3 linked regions of the Drosophila melanogaster genome follow. The protein of the gene in region 1 interacts with the protein of each later gene in a pairwise test. Each region holds a gene or a part of one and is shown on either strand. Other genes may lie near its edges.

Evidence for each region.
Region 2: the proteins of magu (region 1) and slam interact in a two-hybrid assay, tested with the Drosophila melanogaster proteins (one large-scale study listed by BioGRID).
Region 3: the proteins of magu (region 1) and CG9522 interact in a two-hybrid assay, tested with the Drosophila melanogaster proteins (one large-scale study listed by BioGRID).

The regions. Positions count from the first base shown.
Region 1 is NT_033778.4:10,050,093-10,056,077, forward strand, and holds the start of magu (magu), read left to right. Parts: upstream 1-2,448; 5' UTR 2,449-2,543; exon of another isoform or gene 2,544-2,903; intron 2,904-3,002; exon of another isoform or gene 3,003-3,301; intron 3,302-4,085; exon of another isoform or gene 4,086-4,196; coding exon of another isoform or gene 4,197-4,475; exon of another isoform or gene 4,476-4,484; intron 4,485-5,985. Other genes in the region: COX7CL (cytochrome c oxidase subunit 7C-like), read left to right, coding at 379-468, 530-657, 714-726; sel (seele), read right to left, coding at 931-1,247, 1,442-1,609, 1,710-1,794; Def (defensin), read right to left, coding at 4,197-4,475.
Region 2 is NT_033779.5:6,370,349-6,378,752, reverse strand, and holds slam (slow as molasses), read right to left. Parts: upstream 6,366-8,404; 5' UTR 6,172-6,365; intron 5,458-6,171; 5' UTR 5,177-5,457; coding exon 3,446-5,176; intron 3,380-3,445; coding exon 1,589-3,379; 3' UTR 1,469-1,588; downstream 1-1,468.
Region 3 is NC_004354.4:14,845,004-14,851,043, reverse strand, and holds CG9522 (uncharacterized protein), read left to right. Parts: upstream 1-2,235; 5' UTR 2,236-2,265; coding exon 2,266-2,401; intron 2,402-2,547; coding exon 2,548-4,262; 3' UTR 4,263-4,572; downstream 4,573-6,040.

The DNA.
Region 1 (5,985 bases):
GGCAAGACGGCTTATGTGGAACAACAGTTTGTTTGGTATTGGCACTTGTAAATGCATCCACGCTTATTTTTAAAGCTTTTAGTATCAATATCTTGTGGCTAAACTATGGAAACTGTGCTCGCAAATAACATGGACTTGGTAGAACGACGTCAGAAACCGATGTACACGCAAAGTTGCCAACTGGAAGGAATATTTCTAGTAATGGTGAAGTTTTAAGGGTTCCCTTAAGTAGGCTTGCCTATAAAGATATATGTCAGGAAATTTTTCGAAAAGCCAGTAACTTTCATTCGTTCGCTAGAAATCTGGGAGTAACTTCTCACTCGCAAGCAATCAAATAATTTCTTATTCCCGTCTCAACAAACGGATTAAAATTTACTCATGTGGCCCACACTTCGTAAACCCATTGGCAAGTTTAGCGGGCCGCTGATGCGTTATGGGAGTGGATATCCAGGCGGCTCTCCTGGGGCGGTAGTTAATCCAAGGTCAACACGCAGCTAACCATTCTAAGAACTTACAATTTCCCTCACAGAACTTACCCTTTGGCTTGGATAGTCCAATGCGTTTCACACTATTTTACCTAATTGCGGGAGTCGTGGGCTTTGGGGCTCCGTTCCTAGTTATTCGCCATCAGATGCTTCGTAATGTAACCAATGATCCGTAAGTAATCCGAGTAATCCAATAAAATCGTATCGTTATTAATGTTTGCTTTACAGCAAGGATGAGTAATCCCAAAATGACATAGAACACTCGTTAATAAATTAATAAAAATACATTGCACATGGAATTTATTGTCGTACATAATTTGTAACACTTGGCATGGTTTTCTTTACATTAGCTAAACATAATTTTCGTTCGAAATATCAGTACAAAGACCTCCACTGGCGGCGATCAAGGAAATTCGTTAATTAACTAAGCTTTCACTGGGACAAACTACAGTTCCTCTTTGCCATCAAAGTCATACTCCTCCTGGACCGGCGATTCGTCGCAGTAGCTCGCTTGTTCTGAGCAGATCTTGATGTCTAAATCGTTTCCGAGCTCTTCGGCCTGGAAGGCTTTAACGAAGATCTCATCGTTGTCCTCCAGTACTTCGTTGCAGAAGTGCCCCAGGCTTTTGTTGAGATCACCATCTTGCACAAAGTCAACCAACGAGGAGTCTGGGTTCATCTGACCATTGATGATCATCTTGAGGAGTGTGAATTTCCCGTTGCTCTTGTAGGTTGCCTTCAAGTAGTCGTCCATTTTTTCGCCTTAGAACGGGAAAATATTAGGAATGATAAGCAAAGTGTTATCATTAATAGAATACCACATATAACTATCTTCATTGATAAACAATAGCTACGCTCGAAGGTAAAACTTTTGACTAACGTCAAATGTTTTAAGATTAGACTGGTCTTTATCAAGCCTCTATGCTATTCCGTACCATATGGTAATAATTACTTACAGATCTTCTCCATCAGTTCGGTAAGGAACATTTCAGATTTCACTAGGCGAACTTTCTTGCTGATCGAATTTCCCTGTGCGTCCAGCCGGAATCCACTGACATCGGCCATCTTGTGGGGGTCCTCCTTGGCAATGGCCTCCTCCAGTTCCGTAACCACGGCCTTGCACACTGTAATTTATGGAACCTCAATTATCCGGGCTCCCAGGGCCAGCCAACAAGTGCACTGCCGCCTGTTGCTGGCGCGCTGTTATGTGTGGATTCTCCTTACCGTGACACTTGACCTCGCGGGAGGTGAAGCTGTAACCTTGGGCCAAGGCCAGCAGGCCGAACAGGATAAGCGCCTTCGTCAGCATCTTTTTAATTGATTGTTTAATAGTTTAACGCGTGGAAACTAATTGCATTAACCACGTCAGCAGAAGCGCCTTCCGTTTAAAAGTGCGGCGTTGATAAAGACGTGTGCTGTATTTACGACGACTTAAGAGCGACGTGGTTCTTGATGCTCTGCAGCGATAAGTGAAGAATTCTACTTAATTTATGCCCAAGATGTGGTGACGAGGGACGCGGTCAGTGGGTCTGGGTCAGCGTTCACAAGAATTGTGGTAAACGTTTTAAAGAAACCTTATTGATAATACCCGGCTATCGATAGAACTTTTCTAGCTAACGCCAGTTTTGGCTATCAAATATTTTTAAGGTGACCATCTCTACCTATTTTAAGCTAAAAATGAAATATGTGTACTTGTCGTTAAGAGATTTAATTTGATGATTCACATAAAATGATGTCGTTTAACATTTGTAAATCGTTTGAACAAAAAAAATATCGATAGTCAAGTGCGCGCGTTAATTCAAATCTTGATCGTAGCACGATGCACGTTGAAATGTTTAAGTTTGGGGGAGAGCTGCATTATATACATATGTGCATCTCAATTCTCGTATTCTCTTAGCTCTAGATCGAAAACTTATGTACATTAGCCGATGTGCTACTATATAGTGAGCCGATAACTGAAGAGTCAGTGCAAATGGAGAATCGCTCGCGAGTGGTTGCTCTGTTTTCGGATCGAGATGTGAGGACGAGGGGTTCGCGTAATTAACCGGCAAAGCGTTTGTAAATTAAAAGAAACCCACAAGTCGGCCGCGTTCCTCGATTTCTACATACTCTTATTAACCATTATAATTGGCGTTAATTAAGTGTCGTGTTTCTCTCTCGGCGCGTGTTTCTCTTCCCTATTCCCCTTGTTCGCTTGCACTGATGATCATTTTTCTTGGCGTCTGTTTGTTTGCTCGGTTAATTGATAAGAACGAATTGTAGTCGTCGGACTTGCCGTATTTATAGAGCAATGCCGCAAAAGAAACGGAAATGCAATGCAAATTGTTGCTATACCTTTTAGCGTAGGTTCAATTTTTTGACCCTGCCAAACGGAAAGTGGCATTCGCGGGCTACGAGATAAGCGATCGATGATAATTTATTCAGCTATGAATGAGTTCGAGAAGCACCGCAATCTTAAATAGAAAACACATAGATTTAATGTGGATTTTATTTAAAAATATATAGAAAAATATATATCTCCTTATTAAAATCAAGTGCAACGGCACAAACCTTTAACACAAACACCTTTAAAGCCCTTCTTCGAACAGAGGGAATTGCACCGCTCAATGCAGGACTGTCGCCTTGGGCGGACATGTTCCTTCGCATCCTGGATAAGACTCCTTTGAAGCTCCTTTTGCAGAAGTCTATTCTCGGAATCCTTCGGAATAGATCGAACCTGCATTAAGCAAACCGCAACTAGAGTTAGCGCCAGAATAATCGTGATCTTCATGTTGTGATATGAAATCGAGAACTGTTCCAGCTCGTTCAGGTTGCATTCGTGTTTTATAGTAAATTGAAAGGCTGCCGGTTTATGATAATGAGTATTTTTGTCGTAAGAATAGAAAATATTATTGTTTCTTTTCAAAGTTATGCGGAATAAAGTATATGCGAAAGCTGTTTCCGTTTGTTGCTCAGTTAGAAACTGACTAATTATGCCGTTATATGACATTGTATGTTTGGAAACTACAGCAAAAGCTTTATGTAACCAAATTATATTAAAGTACAACGCAAACAATCGATGGGAGAAATTATACAAATTTAAAAAGAATTTCAAATTTGTATTGCTTTTTTAAGTAAAGTTTACTGAGCTTAATATTTCTTTATTAAAATCTGCCTTGAATCGCCATGAAGACCAATAACTGCTCCCGTTAAGAGCTTTTTTAAACAAAGTAAATATATACGTATATATTTGGTATATATAGATCGTGCTCCTCGGGACCTCAATTTTTTTTTTAGCTCGATTAGGTTTAGTTAACTTATATGGTAAGTCGCTAACGCTAATGACCGATATTTTGTTGTACGAATTGGTAATGATAAACGCAGATTATTTTCACAGACTAAGACTAAGGAACATACACAAGGAATAATTAAGTCGTTCTTCTATGACTTTGAAAGTTATAAAGCCAAAGAAATATAAAATATTTTGAAAATTTTCTGTGATCAATATTTATTATTAAAATAGTAGCTTAACTATTAAGAAATTTTTACAGTCCCAGTTCCTTCTTACCAATTATTTCCATAAAAAGTAATTAGTAATAATTACAAATCATTATAATATTTAAATATCTGTCGATTAAAAGGATCCATTTATATATAGAATTTTTCAACGTTTTGTTTTATGTGTGACACTTAAAAAACGAAAATTTTTGGTGTACACAGAGCGAAACGAAATCAATTGCGGCAAACGCAGACGGCCTTGTCGTTGCAGTAGCCGCCTTTGAACCCCTTGGCAATGCAGTGGCCGGCGCAGGCGGTGTGGTTCCAGTTCCACTTGGAGAGTAGGTCGCATGTGGCTCGCTTCTGGCGGCTATGCTGCAGCACCTCCTGGTGGGCATCCTCATGCACCAGGACATGATCCTCTGGAATTGGATCCACATCGGAAACTGGCTGAGCCTGCGCCACGCAAGCAAGCAGAGCAAAAGCGATAGCCACGAGAACGAAGAACTTCATCTTGGAATACAACTGGAGAGATACTGTTGTTGCAGATTGTGGTTTCGCCGAGCTTATATAGCAATGCGACGGGCTGATCGATTCGGCCCAGGGACTCCCACCCGGTGACTTACCTTCCCATTGTCTCTTTTTCTGTGCAGGAAGACACGTCTCGGGGGTTTTTAATTTTTAAGTTCACTGCAAATGGGAGAAACCGTTGTCTAGATCATTATTTCATGTGCTTTGCCTGGAAAATATTGACAATATTTCATAGATAAGAGCAAAATACAGCCGACAGAGCCCGTTTCTGCAATAAGTTATTTGCATTTCTAGGGATTTTAACTGCCTTAAATTTTAGGCAGTAAAGTATATTCCACATGACAAGTTAATTGTAAAAAGCAACATCTACGAAATTAACCATTTCAAATTGTTTAGGCCTTACTTGAGAAAGAATCTTTGGTTTGCGAAATATGCAGGATATTTGTATATATGCAACGTTGATAAAAGCCTAAGTAAATATGTGCCCTTTAGTAGCATCCAATTTCGATTTTATTACTCCCAAACTGTTGAAATTAGCTGATGTAGGGGAATCCATATTTAATCATCTGAATTTCTAGCTAACTGACCGATTGGGTGCCACTTTAAGGGCTATACTCACAGCTACACAGCTACACAGTTGGCTCAAGCAACTGAGATACTCGGTTACGGATACATAAACACATGCGACAATAAATAATTTCTACCGAAAAGTCTCTTCATAATGCCGGGCAAATAAACAAACAAGAATCACACAATGATTAGTTGGGCATACAGCGGCAGGGGCGGGTGTACTTGTATCTGAATCCGTATCTGCGCGTACGTGTATCTATATCTGTATCGGCATCTGCATCTGGTTCTCAGCCCAGTCGCGCTGAGCCGACAATCCCGATCGAATCCCACGACCGAGGCTTTTTCAGTTGCCCTGCTCCTTGGCTGGCCGTTGCCTGTTTACCTTTGTTATCGACCAGGTTGTCTTGTCTTGCATTTTGGCGTCATACTGTCTGCCAGTCCACTCCACTTGAGTTTCTACCCCGCCCCTTACAACCGTCTACAGTCTAGAGTGTTGCCCGCATGCCCATCTTCACACGAGGAGAAAATATCGAATCTTTTGCGTTTCCACAGAGAGTCTTTAATATCAATACATGAGGATTTTTTTGTAATATGTAAAGGCTTATAGATAGGTGTACGCATCAGAACTGCATATGTACATCCCAAAATCCAAATCTATAGATCCCTCAATATTGTAGAAGATTTGGAGTTAGCTAGAGTTGCTACTTCTGGACGAAGGTACTATTTACAAGTACAGGTATATTTTCCCCAGTGCATGCTCGATCATCGAAGAAGACCACAAAACGGAGTGTGGCACAGCCGAAAACAAAGTGACGGCAGGAACGGGGGTGTTCGGGGTGTTGGGGTATATCAAGTAGTGGGCAAGAGGGGGCAGTTATCGCCGCCGTCAGACTGTCTGGCAGGTTTCACACCGAATCGAAGA
Region 2 (8,404 bases), on another chromosome or scaffold:
AACAACTGTGTAATTAATTAAGCGAATTGCAATTTGCAAACGTTAACGAAGTCAAGCTTTGGTTTTCCCCGAAACTCCCTATGCAGCCCATTAATATTTGATTACGTTTGGTGGCGAAAACCACAGCGTGTTTTTAGGCAAACAAAGTTACCAAATTAATCAACCTCGCATATTTGTTTACCATTCGTTCGGAAGCACTCTAAAATATTTTCTAAAAATTCGTTTGGTTTTAAAACCACTATACCATCGGTGAGGGTATGCGAAGAATGTTGTAAAAAGCATTTCGGCAGGGCCAAAGCAAACATGCGATGCAAACCAAAGCACATAAATCCTGGTTAGTTAGATATAAAATCAATTAATTTGCATAAATACAAGTGGGAAAAAATAGTATACCCTTCGAATGATGCCAAATTGTTAAAAAGAGAGCACTACTCACTCACCTCCAACTGTAAATAAGCGCGTATATGCATGGATAAAACCCCAAATGCAATTGTAAATTATGTACTCGTTATAGGCACTAGAAATGAATGTTCATTTGTACGAGAGTAGGCATCAAACCATTTCAAAACTAGATATTTAACGGGAAAGCGAAAGGCTTAAATACTCTGAAAAACAGGCACCTAAAATGCATTAATCAAAAACCATTAACCTAAATAAGTAACTAAGCAAATATGAATTACGAATATTCACGATTGAAGCGAAAACTGTTGATACATAATTTAGTTAGCTGATCAGTTAAGACGGGTTTACAGTTGAGAAATAATCCAAATAAAGCCAAATCCAAATATGTAAGTTCTAAACTACTCATACAGAAATACATATATATATATATATTTAAATACCTACATATATCATAGGCCTTAGTTTGTGTTTCTTAACGATAAGAGTGATAATGTATATTTATTAACTTGCTCCCCGAGCGGAACAAACTGGCACTGCGAAAGAAACAAATAAAATATCTATGTATTTGGGATTGCTTCTTAAAACTTAAGCGACTTTTATTTCAGTAATCTGTGGTTCTTGATATTGACCAGTGGTACTTGTGCAAAAATATAACTATTATTTTTTATTTGAAAGTCAAAAGAATGTCGACGGGACTTTTATTTTATGTTGAACAAGTAACCATTTATTGCATTAATAGTTAGTACTTTTCTCTGATACCATGTTTGCGCAGCACTTTTGCACGTGAAATTGTTATTGAACCGAACCCAGCAACTCCTTTTGGCCCCAAACGGATTCCCTTGGCCACTGGATGTGCACTAACATGGTATCCTTGGCCAGGAATGTCTGAAGTTGATGCAACAGGAGCATTTGCTTGATGAGAGCAAGAAAAAGAAACCATGTGCTTGCAGGAAACGTGATGCTTGCCAGACTCCTACGTGTCTGCAGGATAGCAAGGAGCTATGCCCTCCAGAACCCCTGATTTTGTTGGACTCTGCATGCCCAAGGAAATACACTGAATGGCTTTAACTTTTCTCTTTAAAGTTTATTATCTAAAATCTTTGTAACATTATATGTTAATGTCTAGGAACTAATTGTTTATAAAATCTTAAAATAAAGTCAGATCCCGATGAGGTAGCACCATCGCTCAGACCTCCACGGCCCTCCGGTCCATCAGGGTGTCGAGAATCTTGTCCATGTGCTCGCTGCAGTTGGCCAGGCACACATCCGCATACTCGCTGAGGAAGTACATGAAGCTCTCGAGCTGCTCCATCGAGCAGCCGCGGAAGCCATCGTCGCGTCCAATGTTGTCAATGGCCCGGATGATGGAGCGCAGCTTGTGGACATATTGCGGCGTGTTGCGGCAGTGCTCCAGCGAAGAGTCGGCCAGATTCGCGGGCTTGGCGTAGCCACGAATGCGCTGCTCCACACTGCGAAGTTTGGACTGCTGCTGCTTGAGGGTCTGCATCATTTGCGGCACGGACATGGCGGGTGTGGCGGCAGAGGGAGGAGCCTTGGCAAACAGCTCGTCCAGGGGAACCGCCTCGTAGTCCAGGGAGAAGAGATCAGGCGAAAAGGACAGCCTACCACTGTTGTTGCCGAAGCTATCGGACTCGAACTCCGTCTGATCCAGGTCGCTGGTCTTGATCGCCTGGTTGGCACTGATGCTGCTGTTGGGCCAGGAGTACTTGCTGCGACCCTCCAGGCCATTGCTGGCACCTGTCTGCAGACCCACCAGTATGCTGTAGCTGCTCTCGATGGAATACTTCTGGGTGGTGGGCCAGAACTCAGGCACGCTGCTGAACTCAATGTGGTCAACGCCGAAGCGCAACTCCGACTGCTCTCCGCTGAGGAAGGCAAACAGCCGCTCGATCTTCTCGCTGGACATCAGTTTTCCGCTGAAGGGCACTGCGAGATCTCCGCTGGCGAACCAATAGTGAGAGCAGCCCTTCACACTGGGTGGACGCTCGGGCAGCGACTGTCGGACGGAGTCGGAACTGGGAGCTCCGCGAATGAACTTGTGTCCGTCGATTCCGAAGGCCAGGTCACGAGTCTCCCAGCTTTTCTGGGTGAAGATTTCGTACAGCAGTCGCAGGCGCTCCGGGCTGTTCTTGAAGATTTCCAGGGAGACTGTGAAGTCCCCAGAGGTGATCCAGAACATTGAGTGCGCCTTGCCGGTCGGACTCTCATCCTGGGAGTTATCAATTTCAACAGTCGGGGCATTGGCGAAGAACTCCCGCTCACTGCACGGTGTGGAGGGTGAGCTGGAGGTGGCGTCCAGATCGAGCGGATGATCCTCCCGGATCACTTGCATGGCCAGGGAACTGCGACGAGGGCGCTCCTGGATGAGAATCGGACTGAACAGTTGTTGTTGCGCCGGACTGGAAGCATGGCGTCCCTTAACTGGCGTGGAAAAACCGGATGGCTTCGATTCCGTGGCTCCAAGCGAAGATCGGCGTATCGGACTGTTGTCCATCGGATCGTTCGAGCATGTCTCAAAGCCCTGATCCACGAAACTGTCCCGCATGGCCTGTACCAGGGATTGCCTTGGTGTCTGACTAGGAGACTGATCGCTGTCTGCATTCGGCGAGGGAGATGACATCACGGTGAGGGTGTATGCCGACTTGATCTTCCGGGGCGAGTTCAAGTGGCGCATCAGTGACTTATCCAACTCAATGAAACTTGGCTCGGGCATTGGAAGTGGGTTACAGATAGCACCGGACTTCTTCTTGGCCGCTCCTGATAGCGGAGGCTTGTAATCTGAATCGGAGTCCGTTGAGGTTATTGCAGTGGCCTCGACAATGGAGTTCTCCTTTTTCCATGTAAGAGTTCGGCGCATTTTCTTCTTGCGTGGCGGACGCTGGGGCTTGGCAAAATCAAATTCACCTGTCTGCAAGTCATCCTTGGGCGTCTCTGGCTGGGATTCGTCGCTGGTTATCTGTGATAGAAAATTAAGAACAATGAGTCAACATTCATGAATCCACTTATTAAAGATATCACTTACCTTGGGGAGTGTAGACAACCCGGATTCACTTTCCTCAGCCTCGGATTGCTTGCAGCTGGATGCACTGGAGGTAACTTGACTTAGACTGGGTCGTGGGGCTGGCACTGGCGGCGCCTGGCGCTTAATGCGTCGCGGAGTGACTTGAACGATGGGATCCTGAGCTGTATCCATCTCCTTCTTTTCCTCGACTTGTGTCTCCTTCTTGGACTCGTTATCTAGCTCTAATTTTGCGATGGCCTCCTCCAGAAGCCGCTCGACGGCGGACTTTTGGCTCACATCCTCCAGAGTAGCGGTGCTCGGCTCAAGTAGCGGTTGCTCCAGAAGATTACCCTCCTCGGTGGCTATCTCAATGGTCTGCTGACCGTCAGACACACTCGTAATGTCGAACTGGACACCGTTCTCCGAGCTGAGCCAGCTGTAGAACAGGGTTTCGAGGTGTTCGTTCTGAAAAAACATTTGGCTATCCGCACCGGTGCGCTCCTGTCGAGTGCGTCGGATTTTCTTTGGTGGCGCATAGGCCTCCGTTGGCATCATGGTGCGAATCGCGGCGAGGTTTCGCTTCTGGGATGGCTCTCGGGCATGTTCATCGCTCTGACGATCCAGGCATCGGCGGGGTCGTGGCTGTGGAGCTCTGCGCTCTGGACTTGGCTTGAGGATCACAGTCAGGGTGCTCACATGCAGCTGGGAGGTGCATGTCTCCGTTTTGCTCTCAGTCGTCTTGGGGGGAGAGACACCACCTGGTCGCGGTGGCGATCCCGGCTCCAGGATACATTTCGCTTCCAACTCCTGGGCGAGATGCTTAACACTGGCTTGTCGTTCAGCCACCACCTCCCCTCGTGCCACCTGTTTGTTTACCTTCTCCTTGAGATCTGCGGCATGTGCAGTGAACTTGGGGTGCTTGGCTGCCATGTCACCGATGAACTTGTTGAACAGCAGGGCTTTGTCCTTCACGCTCAACTCGCGGAAAACTTCCTCGGCCACCAGGCAGGGTCCTTGAACTGGGGACTCTAATGGCGACACCAGGCGGTTCTGTGCCTTAACCTCCGGCGACATCTCATTTTGCAGCTGAACATACTGTGGTTCCTCTGTACGTCGCATCACCTGGCTGATCTTGGAGTTAAACAGCTGGGCCATCTCCTTGACCTTCATGGGCAGCGACGCGGATACCTTTCTGGAAGCCTGATATGCAGAGCGTGGCGTCTCCATCTCCGGCAGCTGTTCGTATTTCTGCTTGAGCTCGCTGATCTTTAGGTGGCCACTACCCACTTTTGGCTTGGGCGGCGTGACCGGATCCGACTGGAGGGCCAACTTGGCAATTGTGCTGGCCACTTTACCCGTGTTACCCGCTGCCTTGGTGGTACCCAGTGTCTTTGTTGGCGTCACAGGTACCTCTTCGTCGAAGTACTTCATCAGATTCTCGATGCTGGACAAGTCCAGGTCGGTAACCTGCACTCGGCGCGGTGATGCAAACGAGTTTTGGTACTCCAGGGCGGTCAGGAAGCGATCATCATCCAGCGAGGAAATCTCGAAGAGTTCCTCCCTGGTCATCGTAGCTCGGAGCAGGCCACAGGCGGTGCTGGCATCTCCGTGGCGGCTGGAGCGACGACGTTCCTCGATCTCCGCGTTCAGCTGCAGTAGCTCGCTGAGATCATCACTGTTCATGGCTGCCGTGTCCACTACCATCTGGTTGTGCTTGGACTGGTTGTTCGGCGTGGAATTGCTTAGGACCATTTTGGTATTAGTTTGCTGTCTTGTTGTTGACGTTAGACGTTTCAGTTTGTAACTGTGGCTTTCTGGCATTTTGCTAATAGCTTATATACAATGATCAGGTAAAATATGGATTGGGTGCAGATTTTATTGCCCACCCACTGCCTCAGATTTTCCTTAATCCAACTAGCAGCGATCAGGTAAGATTAACAGCCGCAGCTGTCGGATCGATGGATTTTCCTCGCGCTAACCGATATTTAATTATTTTCGCGAACCTTTCCGCTATAAATATATATCCAGGTGACCTGAAACAAAGAAAACAGGTAGGTAATATTAGGGCTGTGCAATAGATGTAAAATGTAAGGTTCTGGAAAGAAGGGATAACCGAGGATTCACTCGAAAGACAGCTGACGGAAAGTCCTTAAAATTTAAATTCCAATTATTGCAGTAACTCAGCGAAATCAACTCCCAGCATCATCATTATACTGCAACCGAACGAATTTTCCGAGAAAAATGCGAATGTTAACAAGACCCAGGCGAATTGCAGCCACAATAAAAATCACACACTGAAAATTCTTCATCTGACTATTGCTGAAATTTGGAGCGAAAACGAACCGAATTCAGGACCCCAGGGATAAGCAGAACTTTGCTTGCAGTTTGCCACAAAGTGACTTTCACACCGACAGAGCCATAAAATGAAATCAGGGGCTGAGATTTGCGGATGCTCAGGTGGCAGAGCTGGAGCTGATGAGTTACAGAGCTACAATGATAAGTTCCATAATGGGATACATCTTTTAACTGCCTGATATTTAACGATTTTATCTTTAATTTTTGGTTTTAATGCGCTTTTTTACTTTTAGCAAAACGGAGTGCCTATTTTTTTATCACAAAGCTGAAGTTGTTTACATGGGAAGGGTATACTTTCCAAATATTCCAAATTTTCAAGACAAAAGCGTTCTCTAACCCTTTTTTGGGCTTTCTAAAACAGGCCGGCTATTTATATAAATTAGTTAACTTACTTTGTTAAGGATTTCCTTGTTGAACTATGATCTACTTTAGGCAACACAGTATTTAACACGCACAACTTCATAAACAAATTACAAATTAATTTTGTAAACAAAAGACCGCGAAAAAGCGTGGTTATTTGCGCCAAATAACATAGTACATTTACATCGATCTAAGGGCTCATTTGCCGGCTTTACGGAATATCACAGCTGATAATAAAGCCAATCACCACGAATTAAGAATCAGCTGATTGAATCAGCATCAAAGCTCAGTGCTTTTTAAACCGTAAACTAATCTAGACTTTAAATATCATCATGGGCTCAAGAAAATGATTAGAATGTCAATAACTTATATTCTAGGCAGACCAGTGAAGATATGAGAATTCGATGGCTATTAACGGCCAAAACGGCTTACAACTCAATGATACGATAAATTCAAACGGATTGCTCCCGTGGCCTGAATTCTATCAGACGTGCCTTTATTGGTATCTGAATATATTGCTATTTAAGCCAAAAGAGGCACACCAAAATCATTCAGATGGACAGTAGTTGGTCAGTTGGCAAATACCCCAAATGACAAACAAAGCAATCCCCGAAATACCATTCGACGGTGAAAAACATTTACAAACATTGTGGTCGCCAACAGCAGCGGCAAAAATTTAGTGGGTGCTTTATGATAAACTCATGTGGCTGGCGTTCCATATCCAACTGGAATGGACGGGGACGCAGTGGTTCCACTTGCTAAGTAGCCACCGCTTCTGTCGGCGACACCGGAACGCGAATATTTGGTTTCAGATTTTGGGCACTCAATGCAGGGCCATGCAATTTTGAAAATCTGAGCGGCGGCATGTACCCCGCTTTATCAGTGCGGGTTAATTAGACACTACCAGTTCTGTAATGTTGGCAATTATTTCATTGCCGCAAAATCCGTTTACTCGCATAACATGCCCACAATCGGTCTGAATGACGATGCGCGACTTGTAATTTCATCAGCCCTATCAGTCCGTCCGTCCGTCTGTCAGTCTGTCTGTCTGTCTGTCTTCCAGTGCGCCACCTTCGCTGGCAAATCAATCAATTCCGCACAGACCCACATACATACATACATACTTACTCCGCCGAGCGAGCGCACGTGACATGGAACCCCGAGTGGCGGGCAAGACCGCCGGAATCCGGGGGTCAAGGAACGAACCTCAGCCGAGCCGAGTGGAGCACCGCCGTGGCGATCAGAAGCAGCGAGTTTGTTGCTGGCTTCCGACTAACACCACACCATTCGCAATTCGCTGCTCCGATTGCGTCACTCGGCTTTCCGCGTTCCGCTGGCCAAGCGGTTTATTTTAAAACTAATTATAAGCCAGCCCAAATATAATGCACAGCCGCTTTGAATTACATGAATGAATGAAATTCAGCACTGATAAGCCGTTCGACGGAAAGAGGAACTGCTGGCCATATCGCAATAGCCCACACTCAGCATAATGTAGCCGCGTTGGATGAGCTCTGGAATTCAGACTGCTAAAGATGTGTTTATCCTTTACATTTTGCTGACTCACAAGAAACTAGAAAATAATCTGAAACATACCAAATTGGAACCGCAGAATATTGATTTAGATGACTGAGCCCCACACCCCATTTCACATGAGTAGCTCGAGTGTCTCGAGGCATACGTTCTTTATCGCAGAATCAATTCAAGTTTCCCGTTTCTAGTCCATTTGTGGGGCAAAGACAAACGTACGGTCGCCCATTCATCGGAAACAACCACGATTTGGGGCTGACCGCTGTTTGACACGCGGCTCACGCGCTATCATCCCGGCAGGTTGTTAATGGCCCATTAATGCGGTTGCCAGGCGAAACCGACCGCTTGCCACGCGCCTTCAAGACCCACGCGGCGTATGAGCGATTTGCGCGACGACCTTCAACAAGTTGCACAGTGCAACCACCGACTTGGGGCCGGGATTTGGAATCTAAGTCGGATTCTGGATGGTCGTCGCCCTCTGGGCTGCCGTCTGCTCCGCGCAGGATGGGTGTTAATTAGCAAATAAATAAAAGCACGCCGGGTAACACATACGCACCGTGGGCAAGCAAGGAAAAGCACACGTGAGCTCTTCGGCAGAGGAAATCGGCAAAAGTTCAAGGTGCACAAACAGAGTCGAAACATTTTGTACTTTTAAAAAGGTTCTCGCTCACACTGTTAAATATTTCGACTGAAGGAAGCATCCCATTTTCTTTATTTCCTCTGCGTAGGTGTGAGTAC
Region 3 (6,040 bases), on another chromosome or scaffold:
AGCATAAATAAATGATTATAAGTTTTGTATGTACTATATAAACAAAATTCGTTTACTATGCAAGCAGAATTATTGAACTATATGAACTCTATAGAATGCATATTTGACTTTGGGAATTTTAAAATGATTAACTATCCAACTCCTTGAATACCAGAAAAAATAACAATAGTTATAGGCCCAAAAAATTCGTACTGCCTAAACCATTTGACTTTGACATTGAATTTTATTGGACTTCTGTCTTTGGCATTGTCTCATTTATATCAATAGGGATTTTCAACTCTGGCACTTTTCATGCTAATCAATTTGTGGCTTCATAATCAAAATCTGTGAAATACATGAAGTTGTCCGCTTGTTTGACGATTTTTTGTTTTGATTTATTACACGCCTTTGTTTTTGAGTTTCTCTCGATCTTTTTATTGTTGCGGAAATGATTTTTTTTTTATTCATCACTCTCGTTTTTTTTGCGTTCGTTTTTTATCTTGTCTAACGAACTTAGCCGGTGTGAATAATTTGTTAGGTGTTTTGTTCAAGCAATTTTCGGTGCTGAGTCTTTGGATTGATCTTGGTATAATTCGCATCGATTTGACCTTAGAATTATTTATGTATGTAGAGTGGGTATAAATCAGTCGAAAATTGAGAATAATTGCTTTGGTATAAGTATATCTTTCAATATCCCCAAGGGTAGGCTATATTAAAATTCTATTCAAATCGAAATGAAACGAAAAGCTTTGAGCTCAGCTTAAAGCTCTTGGATTTTATATTTTTCGAAGAATTTCAAAGCCGGCTTGTGATTCTAAATCACATTCGTCACTACGTGACTAGCCTTTGACAGTGCTTATTAAATTTAATATATTCACATATATTCTATAAACTTACATGTGCATATAGAAAACAAGGCAATTTACGTACAACTCAATTTATTTGTTGCACAAATTTTATTTCATTTACTTTTGACTAAATACCGAGTGAGCTATAGGCTATCCTATTTCCCATTGAAAACTCATGAAAACATTTCCCTTTCCTTTCGAAAAAAGTCACTAGACTTTTCATTAACACAAATTGAAATATTCATGAATCGAGGGGGCGGTTTGAGCCGCTCAAAAAAAAAAAGAAAAAGGCGAACACAATAGAGACAAATTTTGAATGCAATTGCCATGACCAAAACATGGCCCTTCCTCCGAATTTCACATCAATGTCCTCTGTGAAATCCCAGTCTTGTTCACATTTTGGTTTCATGTTCCCCTTTCGGCTGCTTTGGTTTTGTAAGGGCATCCAATGACTTTTATTGTGGGATTGGATGAACTGCATCCATATGCTGGGGTTGATACCAACTGCACTGAGCCACCCCTTTTATACATTTTTTTATTTTTGGCTAGACCTAAAGTCGTTTAATCGTTTTTGGTTTTGTTTTGTTTTGGTTTTTTCTTGATTATAATACTCTATGGGGTGGCTTGAAATATATATTAACCCTCGAGTGCCCGAGCCGCTGGTGCTTCAATCTTCAAAGATTTAACTGACAGTCCGGCATAAAAAATAAAAATATAAACAAAGCCAGCACAAGATGCCCATCCAAATGCCATTGAACCGAGCTCAGATGCAGAAGAAACACAGAGAGAAAACTAATGTATATAATATATGTATTTAAAATATTGCAAAAATCATTAATTTTAAGAAAAACTAATTACAAATTGCTGAAGAAATTAACCATTTACCATGGGTGTCTTTATCAAATCAAAACTTAAATGATCTAAATTTTTGTTTTCTGCATTAGAAAAGAGACAGAGGAACAGCAAATAAAAGAGAGGCAAGACCGTAGAGATGAGCAAGCAGAATGCGCAAATTAGCAAGTGGCAATAAAAATTCTGAGACAATCTCAGCCTGTTTTGGCCCTACAAACCTGGCCACCAAGTCAACCAACTCATCTCAACAGTGGAGGAAAAAAAGAAGACGTAGTGATGCGGAGAAAGGCGGCGCGAAAGAGAGGGGGGTATAGAGATCAGTGAGGGAGAACCAAACCGGCAAGATAATCCACAGTGGAGCAAGTTCCATTTGAAATAAAATAATAAAAGTTTCAATTAATGTTCACTAACTAACTTTCCACGCCCATAAATAAAAAGCGCAATAATAGTAAAATATAAAATAAATCACATATCTAGATTTTTTTGAGACTTTTAAAACTCGTTCCACAGTGCGTTGGCAGACGTAGAGGTCCAATATCACGGAAAGCTCGGTAGCCACAGAGTTCAGTTACCGGCCATCGCAACCATGGAGAAGCTGCTGCTGACCCAGCTTCTGTTTCTGCTCCTGATCCCACTGATCCACTCCCAAAGGAGCTCCCAACTGGACGAACTGCGGCGACTGGGATTGGGAAATGTCGTCAATGTGCCATTCTTCAGCGATGGTGAGGGTTTATTCAAATCATGGAAATATTCAAGTACCTATATGTGCTCCAATATAATAAGCGTATTTATGCCAGAGAGTTCCATGCTTTTAGTACTGGAAAATTTGTAATCGATTTAACACATATATTTTAAAATCTCCTTGCAGTTCCCCAAAGAAACTATGACTTCATAATAGTTGGAGGCGGAGCTGCTGGCTGTACATTGGCCGCTCGTCTCTCGGAGAATCCCAATTGGAGTGTGTTCCTTATCGAAGCCGGAGGAGTGGAGAACATAGTGCATCAGGTGCCATTACTGGCGGCCCATTTGCAGTCGACTGCCTCCAATTGGGGCTACAACTCGACGCCACAACGCCATGCCTGTCGTGGAATGCCCGATAACAAGTGTGCCCTGCCGAGGGGCAAAGTTCTGGGTGGCACTAGCTCGATCAATTACATGATCTACAATCGGGGCAATCGTAGGGATTTTGATGCCTGGGCGGCAGCTGGAAATCCCGGCTGGAGTTACGACGAGGTGTTGCCCTACTTTCTGCGAAGTGAGCATGCACAGCTTCAGGGATTGGAGCACTCGCCATATCACAATCACAGTGGTCCCTTGAGTGTGGAGGATGTGCGACACCGGACGCGACTTGCACACGCCTACATTAGAGCTGCCCAGGAGGCGGGTCATCCGAGAACGGACTACAATGGTGAATCCCAGCTGGGCGTTTCCTATGTGCAGGCCACCACACTGAAGGGCAGGAGGCACAGTGCCTTTCGTGCCTATATTGAGCCCATAAGATCTAGGCGTCATAATCTGCACATTCTAACACTGGCTAGAGTCACCCGAGTTCTGATAGATGCAGCCACCAAGTCCGCCTATGGAGTGGAGTTGACCCATCAGGGCAGAAGCTTTAAGGTGAAAGCCCGCAAGGAAATCATTCTATCGGCGGGTGCCTTCAACTCTCCACAGTTGCTGATGCTGTCGGGGATTGGGCCAGAAGATAACCTCAAGGCCATTGGAATACCCCTGATCAAGGCACTGCCAGTGGGTAAGAGAATGTTCGATCACATGTGCCACTTTGGACCCACTTTTGTGACCAACACAACGGGCCAGACTCTATTTGCCGCTCAATTGGGCGCACCGGTGGCCAAGGAGTTTCTACTGGGCCGGGCAGACACCTTTCTGTCCAGTATCGGTGGCGTAGAGACGCTCACCTTCATCAAGGTGCCGTCGGGCAAGAGTCCGGCCACCCAACCCGATGTGGAACTCATCCAAGTGGCCGGCAGCCTGGCTAGCGATGATGGCACTGCCCTGGCCAAAGGAGCCAACTTTAAGCCCGAGATCTACGAGAAAATGTACAAGAATCTGACGTTGAGGCAGCAGGATCACTTTAGCTTCCTCATCATGCACTTCAAGCCCGCCTCCGTGGGTCGCCTCTGGCTGCACAATCGCAATCCACTCGAGTGGCCACGCATCGATCCCAAGTACTTTTCGGCTCCGTCGGATGTGGAGAACTTGCTGGAGGGCATTAAGGAGGCACTCAGAATCTCCAAGATGCCGGCCATGCAGGCGATTGGAACCAGATTGTTGGACAAGCCGGTGCCAGGTTGTGAGAACTACGAATTCGCCTCGGATGATTATTGGCGGTGCTCCATACGCACGCTATCCTACACACTGCACCACCAGGTGGCCACCTGTCGCATGGGCGCCGAAAGTGATCCCACCACCGTGGTCAATCATCAGCTAAAGGTGCATGGAGTGAGGAAACTTCGGGTGGTGGACACCAGTATCATACCGTTTCCACCCACCGCTCACACAAATGCAGCGGCATTTATGATTGGGGAAAAGGCGGCTGATATGATACGATCCGAATGGAGTTGATTAACTCCAGATGAAGATCACCAAATCAGCGATTTATGTAAAGGGGTTAATAAAATGCGAGAGGAAAGTTTGAAAGAAAGCAAACGGGTAAAATCGTCACACGTTAAAAGCATTCGACAATTCTTTAATAATTTAAAAGATTGTGTTCCATACATAATTTTAAATCAGTAAGAAAAAAAAAATCACATTTTCATTGGATTTTAAAGGGTATCATATATCATTATTATTTTCAACATTTTGAAAATCTTTAATTCAAATTCATAAAATTAATAACATTTTTTTTTTTATAATAAATGCCATCGAAAATCTTTATAATTGACTTTTAACTCAATTGCCACCCGTTTTCGTTGAGTGTAGCGCCAAACGGGGTCTTCAGAACGGTTCGGGTCAATCCAATTTGGACCACGTCATGACCTAGCTTAATAAGTTCCCACCGATCCGTTCCGGTCTCGAACTGAACCGAATCCGAATCGGGCCAAACGAGGCATCCCAAAAACGGGTTTACGCACTCCAAGTTCAATGGCTCGTCAGTCTGGCCGACAAAAAAATACCAATAGAGCGCCGGGATTGGGTATGCCTCATCGATGATGTATGTACATATGTATGTATATACGATATTGTTGTTATTTTACATATTAACTTGAAGTGCATTTAGGGGCCCAACGCTGGGAGAACACGCGCCAAAGTTAAATGAACCCGCAAATGGTAGACGGCACTTAAAAAGTGAGAATCTTGTCATTCTCCATTCGCATTTGGTCAAACCAGGAAATGTGGCTATCATTTTCTGGATACCCTATAGTTTTAAGTTTTTTTTAATTTTCTTACAAAACTTGCAGCAATATATTTTACTGCCCAGGATATGGTTTTTATTGCATACTTTTAAGCACCTTTCGAATATTTCCTTTATAAACCTATTTAATACCTTAGATATATATATATATATATATATAATTACGTTAAATCACTGTAATTTTTCACCGTGTACATTTTAAACTAATCAAGAAGAACCAACTCATCTGAAACTGGATCAGTCTAAGTTTATCTTAATGACTTTCGGCACCTCAACTATGTTTTGATGCTTCCAGCTAAACTCTGCGATTTTCACTATTTATTTTTGTTTACTGCTAATTGGTGCTAATTTTATTTAGGTTTGTTTTAATTTCTTTAACCGGTTCTGGCCAACTTTGCTTTGTTTTTTATAAGTTTACTATTTCTGGTCGCCTTGCCATTTGGTTTATGTTGCTATTGTCTGGTGTTTGTATTTCGATTCGGTTAGTTTAATGCTCAATTGGATTCTTTGTTTGAATTCTATTTCTTAGTTTATTTGCTCTTCAGGCTTCATTGGCTGGCAAAGTTTCTTTTTACGATTTTCCGTGTCGGTTTATTTTTTAAGCTCTTCCTAAAGTGGTCTATATGCATGTTTCTTCCTGGAGTTCACTGGAGTTTGTAGTTCATTTTTTATAATTCTTTTTTGGTGAAAATGAATGTAGCTTATTACATTTTAAACGTTCCTACATATAATAAGATCTTTTTTTATTTTCCAAATATTATCTGGACTTAAACAGAGATGGATCAAGGTTCAAAACGGAATTGCCATTTCTAAAACAATGCAAGAATGCTAGAAATTACAGTATTTAAGCCCAAATAATATAATCAAACTTTTCAAACTTTTAAAAGTCATCATTTTCAATTACAATGTTACAAATTGTTTAAATATTCTAATAATAAGCACTAGCTAGCAAAATTCATTAATTTTAAGCTTTGTTCGAAATCATATA